Astyanax mexicanus: one gene and its partners. The protein of the gene in region 2 binds, or shares a complex with, the protein of the main gene of each other region. Links are inferred from orthologs where the notes say so. Each region holds a gene or a part of one and is shown on either strand. Other genes may lie near its edges. The genes, in order: arid2, smarcd2 and smarca2.

Region 1 (6,925 bases), on a different chromosome or scaffold from region 2:
ACACAGAAACAGCCTTATTTTTGGCGGGTGCCAGCCTTTGAGCTGGTCAGTGTACTACACTCCTATGTTGTGAAGCAGTTTCAGTCCTTTATTCTGCACGTGCAAAAATGCAGAATACCGGTATAGGTACAAAAATAACAGAGCTAAATACTTTTTCACCTTTTGTTTTTGAAACGGTGCAAGTATAACATCTCCCCTCTGAACCACTAAAAGCACATCACAGTAATAACACTTGCATTACTATATCTATTTAAAAGGTCAGGGGGAAAAATGCCTCACCTACTACTCACATTACAACATATACTAAAAAGATGGAGAAATGAATTACAATTAATTGGCCACATGTAAGACACAGCACCCACATTACTGCATACAGACACTTTAAATAAGAAAAAAGGAGGAAACAGTAGTTTTAATTTTTTTTACTCACTTAAGGACTTTTGTAGTCTAATTTCTCAGCAGTAAAAAACATACTTTTTTTATTAAACACTGCAGTGCTTGTGTACTTAAAAACCTGGATGTTTGAAATGACCAAAAACATCAGGGAGATGTTCTGATGTGTGAGAATTGGACTGTTGGTGTTGCTCTTATACTGTAAACAAAGCCACAACAGACCATATGCTAAAGTTTCAGGCTCCTAAAACTCCCACCGGCTGTAGGAGACCAAAGAGCACACGGAGAGAGTGAGACAAAGGCCTGAGCTGAGCCTCGTGAACACAACACAAAAACTTTCCTGGAGCCGAAAAGATAAAAGTTGTAATGAGTGAGTTTTATCCGAGGTGTGAAGCTGAGAGCGCCGGTGGCCCGCTGAGCGGCTGGAGTGTGTGTGAGTGAGTGAGTGTGTGTACACATGGCTGAGGAGGGAAACACGCTGACTTACCGAAGGTAGTACTGTTTTAAAACAAAAGCAGCGTTGGAGCAACTCCTCGGGAAATTAAACTCTTCGCCAAGTTCAGACCACTGGTTTTTGTCAGAGACCTACAAAAGAGGGAGATAAACAAAACAAACACGCGTCCATGAGTCTGTGGACATCCACAGGATATAAAAGCTCGTGATAAAGTCGGCATTTCTTCGATTTGACAAGCACATGCGAGCTGATGAGCCGACCGTGCTCGCCTGCCTGCCGCCCGGTCACCAGCTACAGCAGTTTGAATCAGGCAGCCTGCTAACCACCGTTAGCAGTCCGGCTAACCGCACTTTTTAAACAACAAAAAATCCCGAGCCGCGACAGCGAGGCTCCCCCAGCCCGAACCCGTCCCCGCGGTGGAGAGCCGCGGCGGCGGAGGGCATTTGGGCTCGTGTGATGTTGTATTTACAGTGCTGAATAAAACAGGCCTGTCTGTGAGGCCTACGGTTTAGCTGAGCCACGAAGCCAAACACAGGCTATGGCGAGTTACTAGCTTCCTCCAAGCGAGCGCGGTGGAAAAGCGCGGCCGAAAGCCGAGCCCGCGGTGCTGCCCGCCGGTAATCGATGTTTAGCCTCCGCCGCTGGTTTGGAGTCGCTCAAACTGCACTCGCACTCCCCGGCGGAGCAGCGGAGCCGCTAACATCCCGGACTTTCAATTCATACCCGCTCTCTCTCTCCCCCTCTCCCTCGCTCTCGCTCACACACAGGCTTCACCACACAAGGCCATTTTATAGCCCCAAACTCGGGCTGGAAATCGGTTAAATACGCCAGAACCTCCAGGCCGAGCCGGCGGCCACAGGAGCCGGCAAGAAGCCCCGCCGAGAGCTCCGGAGAGAGGCATTTATGAGCACTTTTGGTCGCACTAACCTTAGCGAATCCACCTAAAGAGACGACTCTCGAGTAGAGAGCGCCCAGGTCCAGCTCCTTTCCACCCACCAGCGGGACCTTCTTAAACGGCGACCTGGAGAAAGAGAAAGAAGCACACGGTTAACCGAGGACGGACTGGACGCTCCGGCCGCTCCGGACGACTTTAAGCAGCTTGAAGTTTAACATTTGGACGAATAAAAGGCATCCCCCCTCCTCTCACCCTCTGCTTTGGTGAAATTGCCGCAGCTCGTCCAGGAAAGCTAGTCCTTTCCTCCGCTGCTCGGGCAGGCTTTTTCCCGTCGAATTTGCCATCGTTTCGGATCCTCAAAAGCGGTCAAAACCCGGACTGCTTCGCTTCCTACGACGCCGGGGATCCCATGCTCCGGCGGCGCTCAGTCATTCGCGAGGCTGAGTGTTTAAAAAGTTAAAGAAACGGCGAAGGGAGAGCAGAGCGCCAGCTCTCAGCTAATGAGGACTGTTGAGAGGAGCCGCACAGAAAACAGACCTGATCCGAGCCCGCTCTAACTTCGGCCAAAACATCGGAATAGCGCTCGGATTCAACGGCACACCAGCGTTGCCATGGCGCGAGATGTAAAAATGAAGACCGTGCTGGCTGCTGGACGTGTTGGTTTTGGAGTGGTTTTGACAGTGTGCTACAGACGCGGCGGCATACACACTCTCTCACACACACACTGTGAAGCGGGATCCAGTTCTCAAACAAAAAGACCCGAGCGAGGCCGCGGGCCCTGGCCGCTCTGCAGCGCCCCCGCGCCGCCCGCACAGGTAGTGCACCGGCCGAGGCGCCTCGGCGGAACAATAGACAGACAGTGTTTTCAGTTTTTTCCTTTTTTTATTTCTTTTTTTAAGGGCTCATCTGAAACTTCCGAGATCCGTTAAAACTGAACAGAGCGGAGAGCGTCTGTGGGGGAGGGGGGAGACACCAAATTCACCAGACGAGTAAAAATACATCAGCCCCCGGCAGGTTACAGCGCTGCTGCCTGACCAAAACAGGTCTTATAGTTTACATACATCTCTGTGGGGAAAAAAAATATTTTCACTGACAGGGACAAAATAAATAATAAATAAAATATATAACTAAATAAAAGTTGATTAGTTTGCTAAATGAGAATGGAAATAATAATAATTGTTGCTGTTATTGTTATTCATTTTTACAAACTTGTAAAAACAATTGCATGAAAACAAAAAAATAAATTATAGAGATTAAACAGTTTTGAATAATTTACAACAATATGTATTGTTATTTAACCCTAACCTGTTTGTCATTAAGAGTCTGACTCAACTGGGTTTAAAATAAAGACCTCATCAACTCGCCTCTGCTCGTCTTACTTTTATGTAATTAATTTAATATTTTGGGCTACAGTTCATCTGGGCAGCCCTACAAAAACATGAGTGCATGTATTTTAAACATACAGGTACAGGTAGAAACACCTGAGTAGTGGGGAGTTTTGGGCTCCGCGCTGTGGTGTTTGTTCTTGAACAGTGTGTGTTCAGTGGTGAGCAGTGAGTGCTGTCTGTTGGTGTAAGTGTAAATTGCCGCTGATCCCTGGTATCTCCTCCTCCTCGCTGCCAGGCGTGTATCTCTCTAACTGACGGCTTTACTACATTCAACCATTACACGCTCCCCTTTGAGCGGAGCGCGCTCTGTCACAAAATGGCGGAGCTCAACACCAAAGACCCCATTTTGTCACACTGACACGGAGGAGGACTGAACTGAAACGGCTTTCGGCAATGGGAAAATCTGTCGTTAAACGGCTTTTTTCTAACGCGAATTGGCTGCGTTACACCGGGGAACATTAGCTAGCACCGGCGAGCCGCGCCGCAGCTCCGCGGAAACAGCAGCTCCACTGGAGACGGCAGCTAATGAACTAACTTCACCTGCCCGCAGCTCTTCAATTCCACCTTAAATATCGCATCGGTTACATTAATATGTTGCTCCTTCAGTAGCTACATGTGTCTAAAGTGTAACTGTTACTTTATTTAAGGTGGAGTGGAAACATTGAATACGATTCTCTACATGATCCGACTACTGCTCGGCTACAGATCCGCTGTAACCTGTCCGCTGCTGTCTCAGCTCTCACACACACTTACACACACATATTGTGTCACACACACCGCCGAAAACCCATCCTCTGACATCCAGCCCGCCGCTGTGTTTAGTTTAAGAGGCGCTGTGGGATAAACCGGTTTAGATATCGGCGTGTTTGGTTTGGTTTTCGGTGTAAAACCGCGTTTAAACCGCCGACCTTCACCCGCGACGGTTAGCTCACTAGCATTTCTTAAGCTAAGCTAGTTGGCGTTAGCCGCTTAGCTTAATATGTCAGTCAGGTCTGTAGCTAATTCAGTTGCTGCGCGGCTCTCTGGGCATTTACTGCTTTGTTATCTCAGTCATTAAGCTTCTGAGGTAAACATACTTCTTATTATTCGAGTGTGCGGCGGGTTATAGCCGTCCTGCGTTTATCTGTGTAGTCTGAAACCCGAGCGGGAGGCTGAACTCAGTGACCCGCCGCCACCATTAGACTGCTGCTGCTGTTAACTGTGAACCAGCGTTAGATTTATAATACATTACAGCAGCCCGAGCACAGCTACTGCACCCCGCCACCACAGATCATTACAGGCTTTCACATTCGGCCAGTGTAACGTTTATTAATTACATTTACTGACCATTTGAGGTAAAATGCAAAAATATTAAATTGGATGTAAAAACTCATTATTTTTTAAAAATGAAGTGCGGTGTACAATAAATAAGTTTTCATCCATTTTTCCAATTGTAGTTTTTTTTTTATCTCTGCCCCTTACTATATATATATATATATATATATATATATATATATATATATATATATATATATATATATATATATATATATATATATATGATTATTTTGCAAGTTCAGATCTGTATTGAAAGATACAAAAATTGACAAATCTGAAAATTGAGAGAAGATTCAGCTTCGAGATTCGACCACATTCACCCTACTGTGCTTTTTTTTATTCAGAAATATACATAAATAACCAATAAACAAACATTCATTAATTTATACTGTGTGTGTTTGTTTTGGCTTTTGTTTCTAGCTAACCCGTTTTTGCCCACCAGCTTCTTTAGTCCATAAATACTACGGACCTCATAAGTCGTTTAAAACGTGTATAATAAAAATACATTTAATAGGTTATAAATGTTCTTTATTTCTGTCTATGCAGATGTTGATGCATAATGTATTGGCTTATTCCATATCTATGTAACTAGTGTAGCTATGATTAGTGTGTTAGTTAAATTTCGATTATTAATTTGGTTTAAAAACCGCATTTCTTCAAATTTGAGTATCAGTATAAATTATTTTTATTGCTCTTCATTGATTAAAGTGTCATTCTGACTTTCAGACAGTGCACAGAGTGACTGTCCTGAATGAATGGACAGAGAAAGACAGTTGAGCAGAGTGCTGATCGTCCTCCGGGGAGTCATTAAGCCGCGGTGAACAGCGCCCTCTATCGCCAACACCACCGCAGTACACACTGACTCCTCTCTACAGCACTACAGCACAACATGACTCGACTGACCTCCAGTTATACACCGGTATTCTCAAGGATCTGCTGGAGGTAAAACAGATCCGGATCCGAGTCGCCTGCTGTCTGGGTACAGTCAAATATCAAAATATAGAAAATAGTGAAACAGAGCAACAACAACAAAAAAAGAGGCGACGACAATTTTAACTGTAATGTTTAAGAAAAAAAGTCATTTCGTAAAAATGGCAAAATCACATGAAAATCCTGAAAGAATCCAATCCCGCATCACAAATATTTTTTATTGTAGTCTCAAGATAATACAAAATGCTTTTATAAGATAACAGGGTTGTTTTTTTTAAGATAATTTGACCTTTCGCGTTAAGGCACAAATAATTAAGTTGTAAGTCTAAGATCTGGTTTCCACATACTAAATTGTGGCCACAACTTAATCATCTCCTCTCCATGTCTTATTAAGTCATGCTCATTGCCCACAAAATAATTATCTGATTCCCATGCCTTACTAAGTCATACCCATGATTTAACTATTTTATATCTTTCTTTCAAAGTCATGCCCACAATTTAATTATCTCGTTCCCATGCCTTACTAATTCTTGCCCATGACTTAATTATTTTGTTCCTATGCCTTACTAAGTCATGCCCACAACTTAGTTATCTATTTTTTGTGTGTTACTAATTCACGCCCATGACTTAATTACTGCAGTCCCATGCCACACTAAGTCATGCCCACAACTTAACTATTTTATATCTATGCCCTACTTAGTCATGCCAATGATTTAACTATTTCATATCTGTGTTTCAAAGTCATGCCCACAAATTAATTATCTCATATCTCTGCCTTACTAAGCCATACCCATGACTTTGTCTTTTTCCCATGCCCACAAAATAATTATCTAATTCCCATGCCTTACTATGTCATGCCCATGATTTAACTATTTCATATCTGTCTTTCAAAGTCATGCCCACACATTAATTATCTCATATCTCTGCCTTACTAAGCCAAGCCCATGACTTCATTATTTTATTTGTTTCTTATTAAGCCATGCCCACAACTTACTTATCTCTTTCCAGTGCTTTACTAAGCCAAGCCCATGACTTCATTATTAGGGTTCAAGCACCGAAGGTGCGTAGAACCCTATTGTTTTTGCTAAGATTTTTCTTCTTCTTCTTCTTCTTCTTCTTCTTCTTCTTATTATTATTCTTTTTCTCCTGAAAAAACAGTTGTGCAGCCTAAACCGTAAGTCATAGAGAAATTAAACTTGGTAGGTAGATCTCGGTGGACAACAAAAATGGCACCGATTGGTCAAGTGGTGGCGCTATAAACAAGGAAATTCATTTTTCACAATTTTCTGAATAACTCAAAAACCATAAGACCTACATTCAAAATTCTTTTTTTGATGGATTCCTTGGGTCAATACCAACAACTTTCCAATTTGGACCATGCACTTCCGTCTATATAGATTTTTTGCTAATTTGCATAATATGCAAAACCTACTTTTGCAAACTAGTCCTAGGAATTTTGACCAATCCTGGCATGTTTGGTATCAAAACACTCGTGAGAGCATGCGCTTCAATATTCATTAAGAAAAAGTTGAAATATGTAAACAATAT
Region 2 (7,866 bases):
TGTAGACATAAAAGGATCTGATACACAGTTTAGAACATTGTGCTTTTTGTCTGACCTCATTTTTGTTATGAGAAATAATATTGGAACATGTGACTTTCAGGTGTATTTTGTTGCCCAGGTGTGTTCTGATACATTGACTGCTCAAACAATAAATAGCTCTGAATGTATATGCTTAGTTTCAGTTTGGATTTAGCCCATGTGGACTGTGCATTTGATATTTAAATGAGTAAACATGAAAAACGAGCAATTGTGAAGCTGAGAGATGATGAAAAATCAATTGGAACCATTGCATAGATATTGTCCATAGCCAATAAAACCACAGCAGTCGAAACATTGTTAATACTGTAAAGAAAGACCATCAAACAACTGCTAGTGGCATCAGCAACAACCTTCAAAAGGTAGGAGTGAAGGTATTGCAATCTACTGTTCGCTGAGGATTTAAAAGCTGGAATTTCCCAAGATGTACAGTGATAAGAATATGGACTGATGAACTTTTACCAATGTGATTGAAAGGCTAAATTTTGGAGAAAGAAAGAATCTGCTCATGATTCCAAACATACAAGCTTGTCTGTGAAACAAAGTTTTCTACTGAAACTTTTGTCTTTCAATTTAAAGAAAGATGCAACCAATCTAATTGGGAGATCCTTCATCATACAGCAAAATGATGACCCAAAACTCACTGCCTGGAAAGCATCGCAGAAGAAGAATGCGAAAGTTTAGTAACGTCAGTGGGTCACAGACGTGATGCAGTTATTGCAAGCACAGGATTTGTAGCTAAATAAGGAATTTCAACTTTAATCTGTATTTAAGTCTATCTGTTCCAATACTTTTGCCCAAAAAAAGAAAAATGGGTGGGTTCCGATAAAAGGTGCCATCTTCTGAACTGTGTATCAGAATTAGATGTACCTGGAAATAAAAGCTGAAATGTTGATCTTTTGCATGATATCAATTTTTAATATCAAACCCAAATGTTTTCAGTCTACAGCAGGTGTGAATACATGGATCAGCCTCACTGTTCCAATATTTTTGGAGGGGTCTGTTTATAGTGTCTTAAATGTGTTTATGTAGATGTTGTTACAGTTTCGTGTTCTAACATCTCACTCAATGAATTGCACATGTAGGAGTGAGGATGACTCATTGACGACGCTCCAAGTTCGTCCTTCAGCTTTGCTGGGCTCAAAGCGACATGAGAAGAACCAAGGGAGTCCGCGTGTGTTGCTAAGAGACGAGTCGTTTCCACAGTAACGACATTGGCAATGGGGGGGGGCCCTCCAATCACTACCCACAATGCCGTTTGGCTCACCTTCAGTAACAAACGCACGACCTGAATTGTGCTGACTGGCGGAAGGGCCATCGATTAGCTTCACCGTTCGGTTTACACAAGTGTTTTCTTTCTCACTCTGTTTCTCTCTTTCTCTCTTTCTTTTTCTCTTTATTTTCCTGGAATATTTTGCACAATGAATCGATGTCGTGTTGATCGTTTTGTCTTGACAGTGTAACTTGATAGTTCTTCAGAGTGGCGCGACCTGGTGGCGTGGAACGCGCACAACAATGGGAAGCTCTCAGGGAGGACCGGGGCGGGGCCATTGGTTTGAATGGCAGGTGGTAGTAAGCAAGTGGCGGATGCCTCCCTTCACTTGAGACTTTTGATTTTTCTTTTGCACGTCTTCACTAGGTCTTAAACGGCTGAGGAGGACGTGTTTTTAAATGATGGCCAAGAAAAGATATTTGCAAAGAACAGGACTGATAAATAACTCATCAATCAATGCTGCTTATTTCACCATTTCGAGTTGTAAGGGGCTTTTTGCACGAATCCACAAAGGTGCATCCTTTTTTTTTTCCTGGTGATCCTCAAGGCAAAAGAGCCGTGTTGACACCTTGAAGAACAATTATGATCTTCTAATATCGCACTCTTACAGGAAAAAATATTATAAAATAAAACTTTGAGACTCTGTATAAACACTTGAAATTGCCTCTGGCAGAAAGACGTACGTATTCCTTTGAGGAGAACGTATCAAGACTAGAATTTCTCCTTTTATCATTTTTTTGTTTCTTCCTTTCTTGGTCTTGTTTCTGTGTACTAGATGTTTACAGTGTAAGGAATCATGTGTGTCTTCACTGTGTTGTAACTGTACATACATTTGACTAGGTGAAAAATGCTGCTATCCTGGCCAGGCCATGAGCCGTATGCTTGTGGACATGTCAACACGTGTAATAAACGATCAGAACCATGTATGTGTGTTTGAGGTTCACTTCAGTACCCTGCTGAAAATAGCCTGGCTAGCTCCACCCTAGCTCACCCTTGTTAAGCAGGCTGACCAGCTTAGCTTGTGACCAACAACCTGAAGCTAACAACCAGGTTATTGACTAGCTTAGACAAGTTTATTGTGCTGCTGGTAGACAAGTTAGTCCATCAAACTCAAAGGAAAACATACGTAATGCTGATCAAGAGGTAACAAGTTACTTAACCCACTTAACCACCTGGTATAGGGTATATTTTCACCTAGATGACGAGCTTTTCAACCAGCTCTTTGTTTATGATAAAAGGGATGAATGTAGGTTGTTAGATGCTAAATAAAAAAGTCAATTTTATAAATGTTGTATTACAGGCTTGCATGTTGTTCCATTGATAACTCCTCACATGGAGACAATGAAAACTGGTACGTTATTGTACAGTTAATTTCTGGATTTCTCCTGTAACTTTTGACACAATTATGTTTAAGAAACTAAGTAAAATAAGTATTTTTCTAAATAATGCAACTCAATGGCCTAGCCTATGAACAGTTATGAATACACACCAGGTTAGGCTAATGTATTGACTGAGGAATTCATAGCAAAATATTCTCCAAAAAGAAGTTAAGAATGTATTTTGCATGTTACTCCATGTTAAACTTCACAGAAATATGCACTGGTTTAGAACACAGGACCTTCTTCCTGTATTTTATTTCATGCTCCCAACCCAGAAAGATCTGACCAATAAGCATATACATGTCACGTTTGTTGTGACTTATTTTTAAGTGCTTGAATTTTTCTCCTATTAAACCAAGTCAAGAGGAAAATGCTTCAAGTTTCCAAATAAACTATAGGTGTGGAAATGCAGTAAGCTGATCAAGCCAAATAGAATAGATAATACACACAGTTAGCCTTGTGATAATGTTACATATTTCATTGCAAATCCCATAGCGAGCTACTTTACATTAGCATTGTCCCTCTGGTGGTAATTATGAAGGTAATTGATGCTGAGATTCAAAAAGAAGTCTTGTTCATCCCAACTCTAGCCCTTTGTCAGTTGTAAGATTAATACCGCACAGCCACTCAACAGAACGGTGACTTCCTTTACAATTCAAACACAAAAAGGGGAAGAACATGGTGGGTACCCAGCATGGATATGATGGCAGCTGTGGTTAGAAACTGCCAGTAATGAATGCAGAAGTAACAAGTACCACCACCAAACAGGAACCACTGGACTTCCAGTGTTTACCATTTGTCTTTGCTTTCCTGGCAAACTGTGGACCTCTGTGCTAACCATATATTCATCGCAGTACAAAAGTTTTTTGAAGGAAACATTTTGGTTGAATTTTATCTACAAGAACAACCATTTTTGTGTATGTTGCTGTTGTCACAGCCATTAAAATATTTCCATATTTTCATCCATTCATCTTGACCCCAAAACATATATCCAACAATCAATCACTGGTCACAGCGCATCATAGCTTGGTGGTGTGTCCACAAACTACAGAAACCATCTGTGAGTGTCTGACCACCCTGCTGAAAAGCGAGCTTAGGAGCCGCTTTTTCATTCTTTAGGATGGTCTAAGTTGATCCTTGGTGGTAAAGGGGGTTGAAAAAACTTTTTGAACATTGGAAAGCTTGGTAATGCTGGTTGATCAGTTTTATTATGCTAGTTATGCTGGTCTTGAATGTCTCCCTACTTGGTCTTGTTGGTCATGCTGGTTAACCATTATAGTCACGTATGTTCACACTGGTTGTTTACCAGCTAAACCCTTAAAGTCACAGAAACAAAGACATTTTATGCTGCTTAAAATCTGGTCAGACGTATGTTAACTAGCTAGCTGTGTACTGGGAAAACATCATAGAAGTCACTACCACCCACAGTGGTGGTTATGAACATGACCTTAGGGGAATCTGTCCAATTGAACAGACAGGCTACTCCACATTCATCGCAGGAGGTCCTAGACTTATATCTTGCATATATCATGTTCTTTAGCATCCATGGGACAGGACAAAATAATTGAGACAATACAATTTCCTGTCCCATGACATTTGGCATGTTTATATATAAATATTCTGTTTTAGACATTTTTTTATTTATTGTGTAGTGTTTGTTATTATTATCATTATTAATATTGAAGTAGTGGCAGTGGTTCTTGTAGGTGTTTTATTCTAAAATTTATATTCCTTCCCTTTGTTTTATATATATGTGTGTGTGTGTGTGTGTGTGTGTGTTTGTGTGTGTTCATCTTAGATTAAAAAAATGTGTAATTGTACAAGCACATATCATTAATGATAATAATGCTTTTTAAATGTTGATAGTACTCTCTGTGAGGAATTGATTTAGTAATCAGAAGTGTATTACGCTAGCTAGAAGTGTAAAAATATAGATGTTTACAACAACCGTGTCCAAGAGGCATTCGGTGGGATTATCTGGCAACCCACGGAGGCCCCCCACTTGAACCTCAGCCCTTAGTCATTGGTCAATCTCTTGTAAAACGACTGAGCAACCAATTATAGCGCGGACTGGCAGGAGGGGGCGGGACCAGAGAGAAGGAGAGAGGGAGATAGAAAGAAACAGAGGAAGAAAAGGAGAGAGAGAAACAGAAACAGGAGAGAGAGAGAGAGAGAACACGAGCGCGCGTGTGTTTTATTTAGTATAGTTTAGTTATCGTCGGAGCTCGGGCAGCATGGCTTCCAGACCGGGGTTCCTCCCGAACAGCCCGGCGGGTCCAGGCACCGCGAACCCCGGCCCCCCGGGGCCCCCAGGCAGTGTGCGTATGGCGGGGATGCCGCAGAGCACGGGGGGCTATCGGGGTCTCCCGGTCCCCACTGGACAATACCCGGTAAGCCCGTGTGGTGGCAGCGCGACCCTAACGAAAGTTTGGCAGCTCGCTGAATTCAGTTATTTTCGTTAAATTCTTATTTTTTCGAAATTTAGCGAAGTTCGTTATTTTCGTTACGGCCGTTGGCTGAAATCCCCTCACGCGCTTTTGTCTGAGGGAGCGGCTCGCTAAGCTAACTGACAGTACACACATATACACACAGTCATTACAGCGCGTGTATGTTCATTAATGTCCAAAAACCGTCCTTAATACAGTTACGGATTCATTACCGTGCTAAGAAAATGTCGTTACCGTCTGTTCTGTAATTTAAAGTGCAAAATAACGGGAAAAGTCCGTTTTTAAGATGTTACGGTTGTATCTGCGTTAGCATGAACGTTGACCGAACTTCCGCGTTTAAAGTGAACTGACTTAAACCGATACTCGTTTACACGCTGAAAGAATCGATTTAAATAAGTTAAAAGAAGCGGATTTAACGGGGCGCACAAACGTCAGTTTTGGCATCATGTCATTTCAATGTTTGGCTTTGACGTGATGTTGCGTCACATCTCATAAACAGATGTGAAAACAAGGCTTCGGGAGGGGAATTTGATAGCAGTCTTTCAAATGGACTTTGTCTCACTATTAAAGTGGTTAAGAATAATAGGAATAAAACTATTGTGGTTCATGAATAATTTATATTTTCCTCATGTTCTGTTATTGTGTAGCTTAAGCTCTTTTACCCTTTAATGATTGGAGTTGTCATCCATATACATAATTAATATGGTTTTGGTCTATATTTTTTAACAACCGTTTTTTTTTTCAACAAACAGTACCATTAAATGTTTTCCAAGCTATTGTTTTCTTTACATTTAATTCCAAAACTGTATTTATTTTTTATGAATAGTAAGCAGTCCTCTTCAACCTTATCTGCAGCTTTTATATTGAACATATGTATATGAATTAAGGAAAAGTGTAAAATATAAATGATGTACAGTCTCGATTATCCCATTTTAAAATAAAATTAAAACAGTAATCCAGAGAGGTAGCACCAAATATTAGCCAACCAAAATTATTTAGCAGAAAGTGCTTTCTTACTCAACACTCAGATAATAAATACTGAACAATATTGTGCTTTATTGACGTGTCTGCTGGGATATTAAAATGTTCAGTGTTGAATAATTATTTTAATTGTAGTTTTGTATAAAAAAAAATAAAAGGGGCAAAATTAATGAGTTAAATAAAATGTGTTCATTGTTTGGTCTTTAACAAAAAATGCCTAGAGTCCGTTTTTGTCTCTTTACCTCTTTTATCATTCTGCTGTTTGTCATACGTGGTCCAGTGTTTCTGACCTGTCTGTGTGTGTGCGTGGTTGCAGCGTCCCAGCATGCCGCCCAGTCGAAACATGCCCATGGGTGGGATGGGGCCAATGGGATCCCCCATGCCTGGGCCATCCTATGGTGGCAGCATGCGCCCCGGCATGCCTCAGGCAGCGCTGGACCCGGTCCGCAAGAGACTGCTCCATCAGCAGGCAGGGGGGCTGGTGGGGCCTCGGAGAGGGTGAGTGTTCACTGGAGGTTGGAGTTTAGCAGCAGCAATTTTTTTTATTTAAACCATTACAATGTTGTTTTCCAGTGGCATGTTGTTACATATTAAAGCTTAATCTTTATTTATTATTTACTAGTAAAGAGTGATTAATTATGCTGAATTATTCATTTCTTTTCATTTGCGCAAATAGAACATAAAAAATTTACTCTGCTATTTGTATAACTTCTTCTGTTAAACACAACTTTAACAGGTAAACGAGTGAATTAAACAAGTAGGAGAGGAAACACGGAAAACCTATGCTTCACAGAAGCAGCAAGTGTGTGTGTGCGCGTGTGAGAGAAAGAGAGAGAAAGGAAGGACCAAAGGAGACCAAGGGAGAGGAAAGAGGTGCAAGTTAGCTGTGAGATTTAATCCATATTTCAACATAAATAAAATATAGCCTACCTTCTGAACTCAACAGTAGCAAAACTGTATTTGCATTGCTAAATAAACCTGGTGATACATAATTTGTCTCTGTAAAAAGAGTGATTTATGGGTGAAAGCTAGGGCCAAAATTAGTTAACTGATAAATTTGCTTAAAAAATGTTCTGTGATGTTCTAGAATGTTGCAGACTGCAAAACTAATTGGAACAGATTGTAACTTGCTAGATTTTTGTTTCAAATAATTTAAAAAGCAAACCTACCCTTATGTATTTAGGGCTTTGTGTACCAAACTCATACAGAACCGTGATGTCCAATCCATGATGTGAACCGAACCAAGACTAGCAATGTACCATTACATCCCTATTATTCACTTATTCCAGTTCCACAGCATTTCTGTGGCCAACATTGAATGGGTAGAGTGTGGCTAACACACTTAAACTTGTCCAGCAGTGAAGCAGCAGGAAGGGTTTCCCCACATTCAAAGCCTTGTACATTAACAGAAAAGCTCATCTCAGTTTGATCTTCTAGCATGTGCAAATTGACAGTGGCTTGTCCTTTGGGGCAGAAAGAACTTTTTGTACCCTTCCTCAGAGATGCATTTGTTTCCGCCCTGAAGGGAGGAGTGAAGGCACTGGTGTAAAACAAAGGAAGCTTAACTCTAACACTGTCTCATGATCTAAACTGCTGGATTACGCCGAAAGGAAGAAGTGCTAATAGAGCTGTGCCATCTGTACAACTTTAAAAACAAGCTTGGGAGGAAGATGGATCTATTTTAGTAATGGTGTTTATTATTTGGCAAAAGTCATCAGTCTGTTACAGCATAGGGTAATTTTGTGTTGAG
Region 3 (7,730 bases), on a different chromosome or scaffold from region 2:
CTGTGTCACGATATATTGTATACGATATAATATTGCCCACCCCTAGTGGACACCCCTTCTATTAAATGTTTTTAGCTCCTTAAGTTCCCCAGTATTCCTTGCTGACAGTGGTGTACAAATGTACACATGCAGCTAATCGCTGTAGAGTACTGCCAATAGAATGAACCTACTGGCATGGCCTAGAGGAGTATACGCATTAAAAATGTGAAAAAATAAAAATACTTCTGGGTTAAACTCAAAAGCTGGGAATGTAGTGGGGTGGTACTCATTTAACATCCTGAATACAAGCAAATCACAGCACTGCTACAAAATAAAATAATAAAAATTTAATTAAATAAAAAAAATAAAAAAAATCTGGAAAGCAGAGATAGTTACTCCAACAAAAGCATGATAATTCCTCTAAAATCCTTTATTTGTAAAGAAACAATGCATGAGTATTTTTGTTTTACTAAAAAAAGTAAGACATAATTTGCATAACAACGCAACCATATGACCCAAATGACAATCTGACACATGTCTCTTTAGACGACCTTCACCTCAAATCCACTGCTGAATTAGTAATGGTCAAGTAACTCACAATTCCCTCATTTTCCCTCGTTTTTTTATGTAAGAAGAGCTTATTTTGGATATAATCCAATAGAAAAAACAGTTTATTAAGCTGTTGTAGAAGTGGCAGAAAATGTTTTCCCTTTAAAATGTATTTTAAAAGTGGAAAACAATTTACCTATTTTTTTCAACAGTGGCAAATTCAGTTGTAAAAAGTAGAAATCCACGCTTGTATTTTATTTCTGAATCAGAATTTTCCTAAAGCAATACACAGAAAACCCACAATTAGTTTGAACTTAAACAAATTAGGTCTGTTTTATGTAAAATTGGATATTTCAAACATCATTCAACTATTTTAAATTAGGTTTTGTGGGCACATATATGTTTAAATGGAGATTTTGAGACAGAGCTGAATCTTAGAGTTGAAGTTTAGTCTGTTGCCACTGGCAGCTTTTTTTATTGGCTTTTGGCACAATCTATTTGCATACTGGGTTTGTCCCCCAAATTCTGACACTCACCATCAGTGCATAGCGATTCCCCCCAAGCTACCTTAGGTAACTTTGTGTGGGCTGTGTGCTATATTCTTCATCTTATTTTCTACGAGTATTTCAAGTCTGTATTCTATTTAAATGAAATCAAAAATAATACTAAATACAAATCAGTTTTTATTGCCCTAACCATAACATTAAAGTAAAATAATTATTATTCAAAGCAATTGATAAAATATTAATAAAAAAAATTATGTTCCTACAATTTAGGCATAACAACTAAATTCTATATTATAAAAGTGGTCTATTCTAACAAAAAATTAAAACATCTATCTAAATTTCTAGAGCAGTGTAATAACCTATAGAGACCTAGCTTTACATTGTGGTCTTAAACATAGCATATAAATAAATATACAGCTCTGAAAAAATAAGAAACCAATTAAAAATGATGAGTTTCTTTGATTTTACCAAATTGAAAATAATATTTAATATAATCAAAAGGACAAGAGGATAACCAGGGTTATTCCACTTAATGTTGATATCTGAACTCGTATAACTTTATGAATATGAACTTGTTTTCTTTGCATTATTTGAGGTCTGAAAGCTCTGCATGTTTTTCTGTTATTTCAGCCATTTTTCCTTTTCTGCAAATAAATGCTCTAAATGACAATATTTTTTAATTAGGAATTTGCTATATATATATATATATATATATATATATATATATATATATATATATATATATATATAGCTAAATCAGAGAAACTGATTCAGAAACTGAAGTGGTCTCTCATTTTTTCCATGATAATGTATCAACAGTGGCATATCCAAGTCAAAAAGTACACATTTACCACAGTAATTTATTTCTGCATATAAATTACCTTATATAGGCAGTAGATAAACTCTATAGGCTTCAAATAAACAAATATGACATATTCAGGTCAAAAAAAGTAAAAATCCAGCACAGGATTTTATTTCTGAATCTATATTTGAATCTAAATTATCGTAAAGCAGTAGATACGCTGTAGTTACAGGCCTAAGGTGTGTGGCCTCAAATAAACAAATTAGGAAAATTCAGTTCAAAAAGTAAAAGTCCACTCCGGTATTTCGTTTCAGCTGACTGGGCGGACCGGCTGCAGCGGAGACAGTGAGCAGCCCGGGCGGTTGGAAGGAAAACCTGCGGTGGATTTTTACTGTATTGACCTGAATTTGCCATATTTGAACTGTCACCTCTGCAAATAACCAAAAATCAGGGAAACTTTGTGAGACATACGTGACTAAATTAGATTTTTTAAATATATTTTTCAGCAGTAATTAAGTTTCAGCTCAGTAAGGAGCAGACTATTAGCCTGAAGTTGTTATTTTGGGACAGCAGCGCCGTTGCAGTTCCGTTAAATCTGGCAGAGAAAAGTTTCTGAGACTTCGCCATGACAGTTCTGTCTGCAGCAGAAGAGCCTGAAACAGGGCTGCGTTCAGTTACTGCTTGCTGTCAGTCAGCGAGTGAGCTAAATAACTATTTATCCCAGCTAACTATTAGTCTGTATTCTTCTCAAACTTCTCGCCGACGCGCAGCTCAGGTAAGAAGGCTGGGCTAGCAAGCCTAGATACCCGTCTACAGCCAGCCAGCCGCCCGCTCGCAGCTAGCGCTATATTACCTATACACCAGAAGTACCCAGCTTGTTAGCAGCATGCTAGCAGGTTAGCCAGCTAGCCCCGTCTGTACAGTTATCTAAGCTATGCCACAGCGAGCCCTAACAGCCCCCGAGACCTCTCCACAGCCCCAAACCTGACCCCTATTCCAACTAACCAGTATTTATTCACATTTTTAAGGTAAACAGTATAAGACTCGGTTACCTTACAGGCGACACAAATCGATATTTTGGACCTACAGCATTATTTCGCCTTCAAAATATGACTGCCATTAGTGGATCCCCTCCCCCTCTGTGTTTTTTTCGCTGACATCTTCAAGTTAAGCGAAGGCTCGTTTTTGATTGGTCGATACGAGCCGAAATATTACCCGCTTTGCAGCCTGATTGGTCGAGGCGGACGTCAATCAAGCGGTCCTGTATTTTTGTGGCGGGGCTTAGTGATCACTTTCACTATGCTGCGCCGAACGTGCTGGAACCGTGGCGCTACTGGAGTGTGTGTGTGTGTGAGGGTGTGAGGGTGTGTGAGGGTGGGAGTGGGAGTGCTGTTGAACTTGAACTTGACTCATTATAAATGCTAAAATATAAAAAAGTCCTCATACATATACAAAATAATCCTCATATGCGTATTATTTTGTATTTTAGCTTTTATAGTCAAATTCAAGTATATATATATACCACTTAAAAATTATGAATTTCTTTGATTTTACCTAATTGAAAACCTCTGGAATATAATAAAGAGGAAGATGGATGATCACAAGCCATCAAACCAAGCTGAACATAAGCTGTCATAAAGTTTTCCAAAAGCAGTGTGTAAGACTGGTGGAGGAGAACATGCCAAGATGCATGAAAACTGTGATTAAAAGATATCTAGAGTGTGTGTGTGTGGAAATGAGGAAATAGTCCAGTAGGTAACAGAATAACTATGAGTAAGTGCAGGTAAGGAATGAGTTGATTGGGGAGTACAAGGGGCAGAATGCTGTATAATATATATATATATATATATATATATATATATATATATATATATATATATATACGTGTATATATATATATATATATATATATATATACGTATATATATATACGTATATATATATATATATATACGTATATATATATACGTATATATATATATATATATATATATATATATATATATATATATATATATATATATATATACACGTATATATATATACGTATATATATATATATATATATATATATATATATATATATATATATATATATATATATATAGTGTGTAATATAATATATAATATGGGAAGTCTGATAGATGCAGTGTAAAGTTTATGAACATAAACTTGTTTTCTTTGCATCATTTAAGGTCTGAAAGCTCTGCATCTTGTTTGTTATTTCATCCATTTCTCATTTTCTGCAAATAAATGCTGTAAATGACAATATTTTTATTTGGAATTTGGGAGAAATATTGTCCGTAGTTTATAGAATCAAACAACAATGTTCATTTTACTCAAACATATACCTATAAATAGCAAAATCAGAGAAACTGATTCAGAAACTGAAGTGGTCTCGTGAATTTTTTCAGATCTGTATGTCCCACACTAATTAACTAATTAAAGCAAGAGGCCTGAAGTTAAAGTCAGTCAGTGAGCTGACTCTTATAAATGCGCTGAGCTGCAGTAGCGCGTCTCAGCCGCACGGGGGAGACAGAGACCTACACATCTGTACAGCAATACAGCTGCTGCTGCTGTGAACTGATGGCCTGTTTATGTATGTTGTAAGATGCTGATATGGTCAGTTATGGAAATCCAGTTTTTATAATGCTGTTTAAATGTGCAAAATGATATAAATCAAGCACGAATAAGAAAAAGCCAAAATAGCTTAATTTACAAATCTAAATTTGTTGAAAAAAAAAATCAGATGACAACATATAGGACTTTATGAATACAGCAATATTACTCAAGAAAACCAGTAACTAGTGATAATGATATGTTAAAAATAGCCCTAAATATATAAATAAATAAATGAATAGACTTGCTGTTAGTTCAAATACATGCTTAGTGCCTGTTTGCTGATCTGACATATTTTCCCAGTACTCTCATCAAGTGTTTACCAACATATCTTTCCAAAACATACAGTAATTTGCCTGGCAATGTGAGAGAGTGTGTGTGTGAGAGAGAGAGAGAGTGTGTGTTGTGAGATGTGTGTAAAGGACACCTGGCCGATGCTATCAGGTGAGACGGGCATGTTGATTGTAAGGCCAGTGGTGGAATGACAGATTATGTCCTTACGCTTGTTTCCTTTAGCAGGTTCACTCCGGCCACATGTTTAAATACAGGACTCCGAGGTGTTGTGAGAGCCTGCATGCTGCACACACAAAACATATGGAAATAGACGTGTGAAAACAGGTGTACCAAGTTATTATTGCATTACTTTCAAAAGTATTAGCATTTAGTATGGCAGTTAACATTCACAGACTGTTATATAGTATATATATATATATATGTATGAATAAAATTATGATGTGCCTTTGATTTTTAGTTAAACTCTGTTATTGTGGGACATGATGTTATTCTGGTGATATTTAAATACCAGTATAAATAGCACTGCTCCCAGTAGACCACACACACTTACAGTGTACATGTGCCCACACACTATCCACTTTCTAGATGCAGAACTCATATCTCTTACCTCTTAATGTGCAATACAGCTTTTTTTCAATTAATGTAAATATCGAAATAAAATATTCTACATATTTTAGTTATTTACATTTATAATTATGAATTCCTTTTTTATTACCTTTTTATTAATACTTAAAATAGTTAAAAACGAACTGTGAAACTAATAAAGGATTATCTTATCTTATTTTATTTTATCTCAAATAGTTTTAAATGATTATTATTATTATTATTAAATTATTATTATTTCACAATAAATGGAGAAATATAAATACTTCAAATGACTTGGATTATTTTGGTTTTATATTGACGTTCATTAAGCAGATGTACCTCCTGTAAAGTTGCTTGAACTGTATAAGACAGTGTGTGACTGACAAACTGAAGTATATATATTCTTATTCAATTTTGTATGCAAATTAGGGGTGTAATAACATATCAATATTGTATTGTATATTTTTAATACTATATGGATTTATAAAAATACAGTATTGAATTTTAATTATTAATTTTGGGTCAGACATTGGTTCATTTACTGTTGTGTTCAAACTCCGACCACTAGATAGCAGTGTTGTACTCTGTTGTTAGTTTTTTTTTATATGCTGAACCATAACCCCTGTATCGTGATATGTATCATATCGCCAAGGTTTTGGCCATAAACATCCTACTGTAAATATTTGCTGTTTTACTACTAAGAGGTAAACCTGTGCTAATATAATGTGACAATAAACCTGATTAGATTTTTTTTTTTTTATTGTTTTCCAATATTAACAACTACATTATATATCCATTATGTTACTTTTAGAGCTGTATTACAATTTCTTAACTTGAACACTGTATACAAATTAATATTCCAACTTTCAAAATTTTAAATATCATTATGATAATTTTTTTAAGAAAATAGGAAAAAAACCTTTTCACTTTCAGTAAATGTTAATGTTAAATGATTGGTAATTGTAGAACATTTTATTTGTCTATTCATCTTGAAATTTCACACAGTTAAAAAAAACGCTGTCAGATTCACATTCACAGGCCAAAAAAAAATGTAAAAAGTAGATATTTCTCATTTTAAAGAAAGTAGATGAGCTCCTGTGGAATTGAGTTAGTCTGGTGAACAAAGCTTGGTCCCAGATTTTTCCTGGATGCCCCTCCAGCCAAGAATTGTGGATTGTCTGCTGAATTAAAATCAAGCCCTGATTCACCAAACCAGCTGTTGATATGATGATAAACAATACTTACATTTACAGGTTCCCAGGAAAAAAAGCTATGGAGATGTCTTAGTGAATACAGTAGTGTTAAAACACTATTTTCTGTATGAATGTAAACTATTTATTCTAATATTAGTGAATTAAATTTTTGTTTAGCATTTTCATTCCAATTTAGTTCATTCTAATAAACCTATATGCACAGTACTATATATTGTATTATCTACAGTTAGATAGAGATTGGGTTAGTGAAAAACACGATTTCTGTTCATTGAAAACATTTATACAGTTCATATTGTCATTGTCCAATAAATAATAATATTATATTAATATTATAATGATATTATATATTATAATAATAAAAAATATTTTTTAATTTACGTTTAAATGCAGTTTAAATTAATGTACATACACTAACAGGTGAACAAGAAACAATTAAGTTAAAAGCAAAATTTATAAACTACAAAAAAATATAAGGTAAAATAAGGTAAAAGACAACAAGAACCAATTACAAGAATAATAATAAGCCAACAAATAAAAGATTGGTAATCAGAGTTATTTAAATGCTAAAATGCAAAGTACTAAAGGTAATAAAAAAAACAATCATAAAATATATATATATATTATTCTTTTGGTTTAACAACCAAGTGTCTCCTACATTGTTTCAAAATTTCTTAATGAATAGACCAATAAAAATTCTTAAGAAATAGCAGAAATAAACTCATTTTTACACTGACTTCCATTGAAAGTTAATAAGGTTTTATCTTTCCCCTGTAAAGTTGCTATTTTGGAGATACATGTTTGATGAAATGAAGTGTATGTATTCATTGTTTTGATAAGTAAGTGCAGAGGCTTCAGATAATTACTGCTAAACTGGTCAAATTAGTCCAGCGAAGTCTTCACAGACCATTAGTCTAAGCTTAAATAAACACGTCTTACTGTCTGGGAATCTGAGATGAACCAGTGTCTCTCTGATCAAACACGAAGATTCACCTTTAGATAAACCACAGTAACAAAATACACACACACACACAGCACCAGGCCTTTAATGATCTCCTTTCACACAGTGGGAGCTTTAATGTAAAAGAGAGTCATTAAAGATGAGCTGCAGGATGATGCCGTGCTGGGGATTTGAATAGGCCATAGGCAGATAAACAAAGCGCATGGTTTCGGTTGTGTTCAGAC

Evidence for each region.
Region 1: smarcd2 (region 2) and arid2 share a complex: the UniProt entries of both Homo sapiens proteins name them as parts of the SWI/SNF-B (PBAF) chromatin remodeling complex. The link is inferred for Astyanax mexicanus from reciprocal best matches to the Homo sapiens genes SMARCD2 and ARID2.
Region 3: smarcd2 (region 2) and smarca2 share a complex: the UniProt entries of both Homo sapiens proteins name them as parts of the BAF complex. The link is inferred for Astyanax mexicanus from reciprocal best matches to the Homo sapiens genes SMARCD2 and SMARCA2.

What each region holds. Positions count from the first base shown.
Region 1 is NC_064409.1:38,201,847-38,208,771, reverse strand, and holds the start of arid2 (AT-rich interactive domain-containing protein 2), read right to left. Parts: upstream 3,096-6,925; 5' UTR 2,087-3,095; coding exon 1,995-2,086; intron 1,869-1,994; coding exon 1,775-1,868; intron 979-1,774; coding exon 881-978; intron 1-880. UniProt on the Homo sapiens protein: Involved in transcriptional activation and repression of select genes by chromatin remodeling (alteration of DNA-nucleosome topology). Required for the stability of the SWI/SNF chromatin remodeling complex SWI/SNF-B (PBAF).
Region 2 is NC_064422.1:21,924,698-21,932,563, reverse strand, and holds the start of smarcd2 (SWI/SNF-related matrix-associated actin-dependent regulator of chromatin subfamily D member 2), read left to right. Parts: upstream 1-4,789; 5' UTR 4,790-4,922; coding exon 4,923-5,078; intron 5,079-6,432; coding exon 6,433-6,614; intron 6,615-7,866. Other genes in the region: atxn7l3b (ataxin-7-like protein 3), read left to right, coding at 1,122-1,141. UniProt on the Homo sapiens protein: Involved in transcriptional activation and repression of select genes by chromatin remodeling (alteration of DNA-nucleosome topology).
Region 3 is NC_064429.1:18,434,681-18,442,410, forward strand, and holds the start of smarca2 (probable global transcription activator SNF2L2), read right to left. Parts: upstream 3,015-7,730; 5' UTR 2,924-3,014; exon of another isoform or gene 2,889-2,923; intron 1-2,888. UniProt on the Homo sapiens protein: ATPase involved in transcriptional activation and repression of select genes by chromatin remodeling (alteration of DNA-nucleosome topology).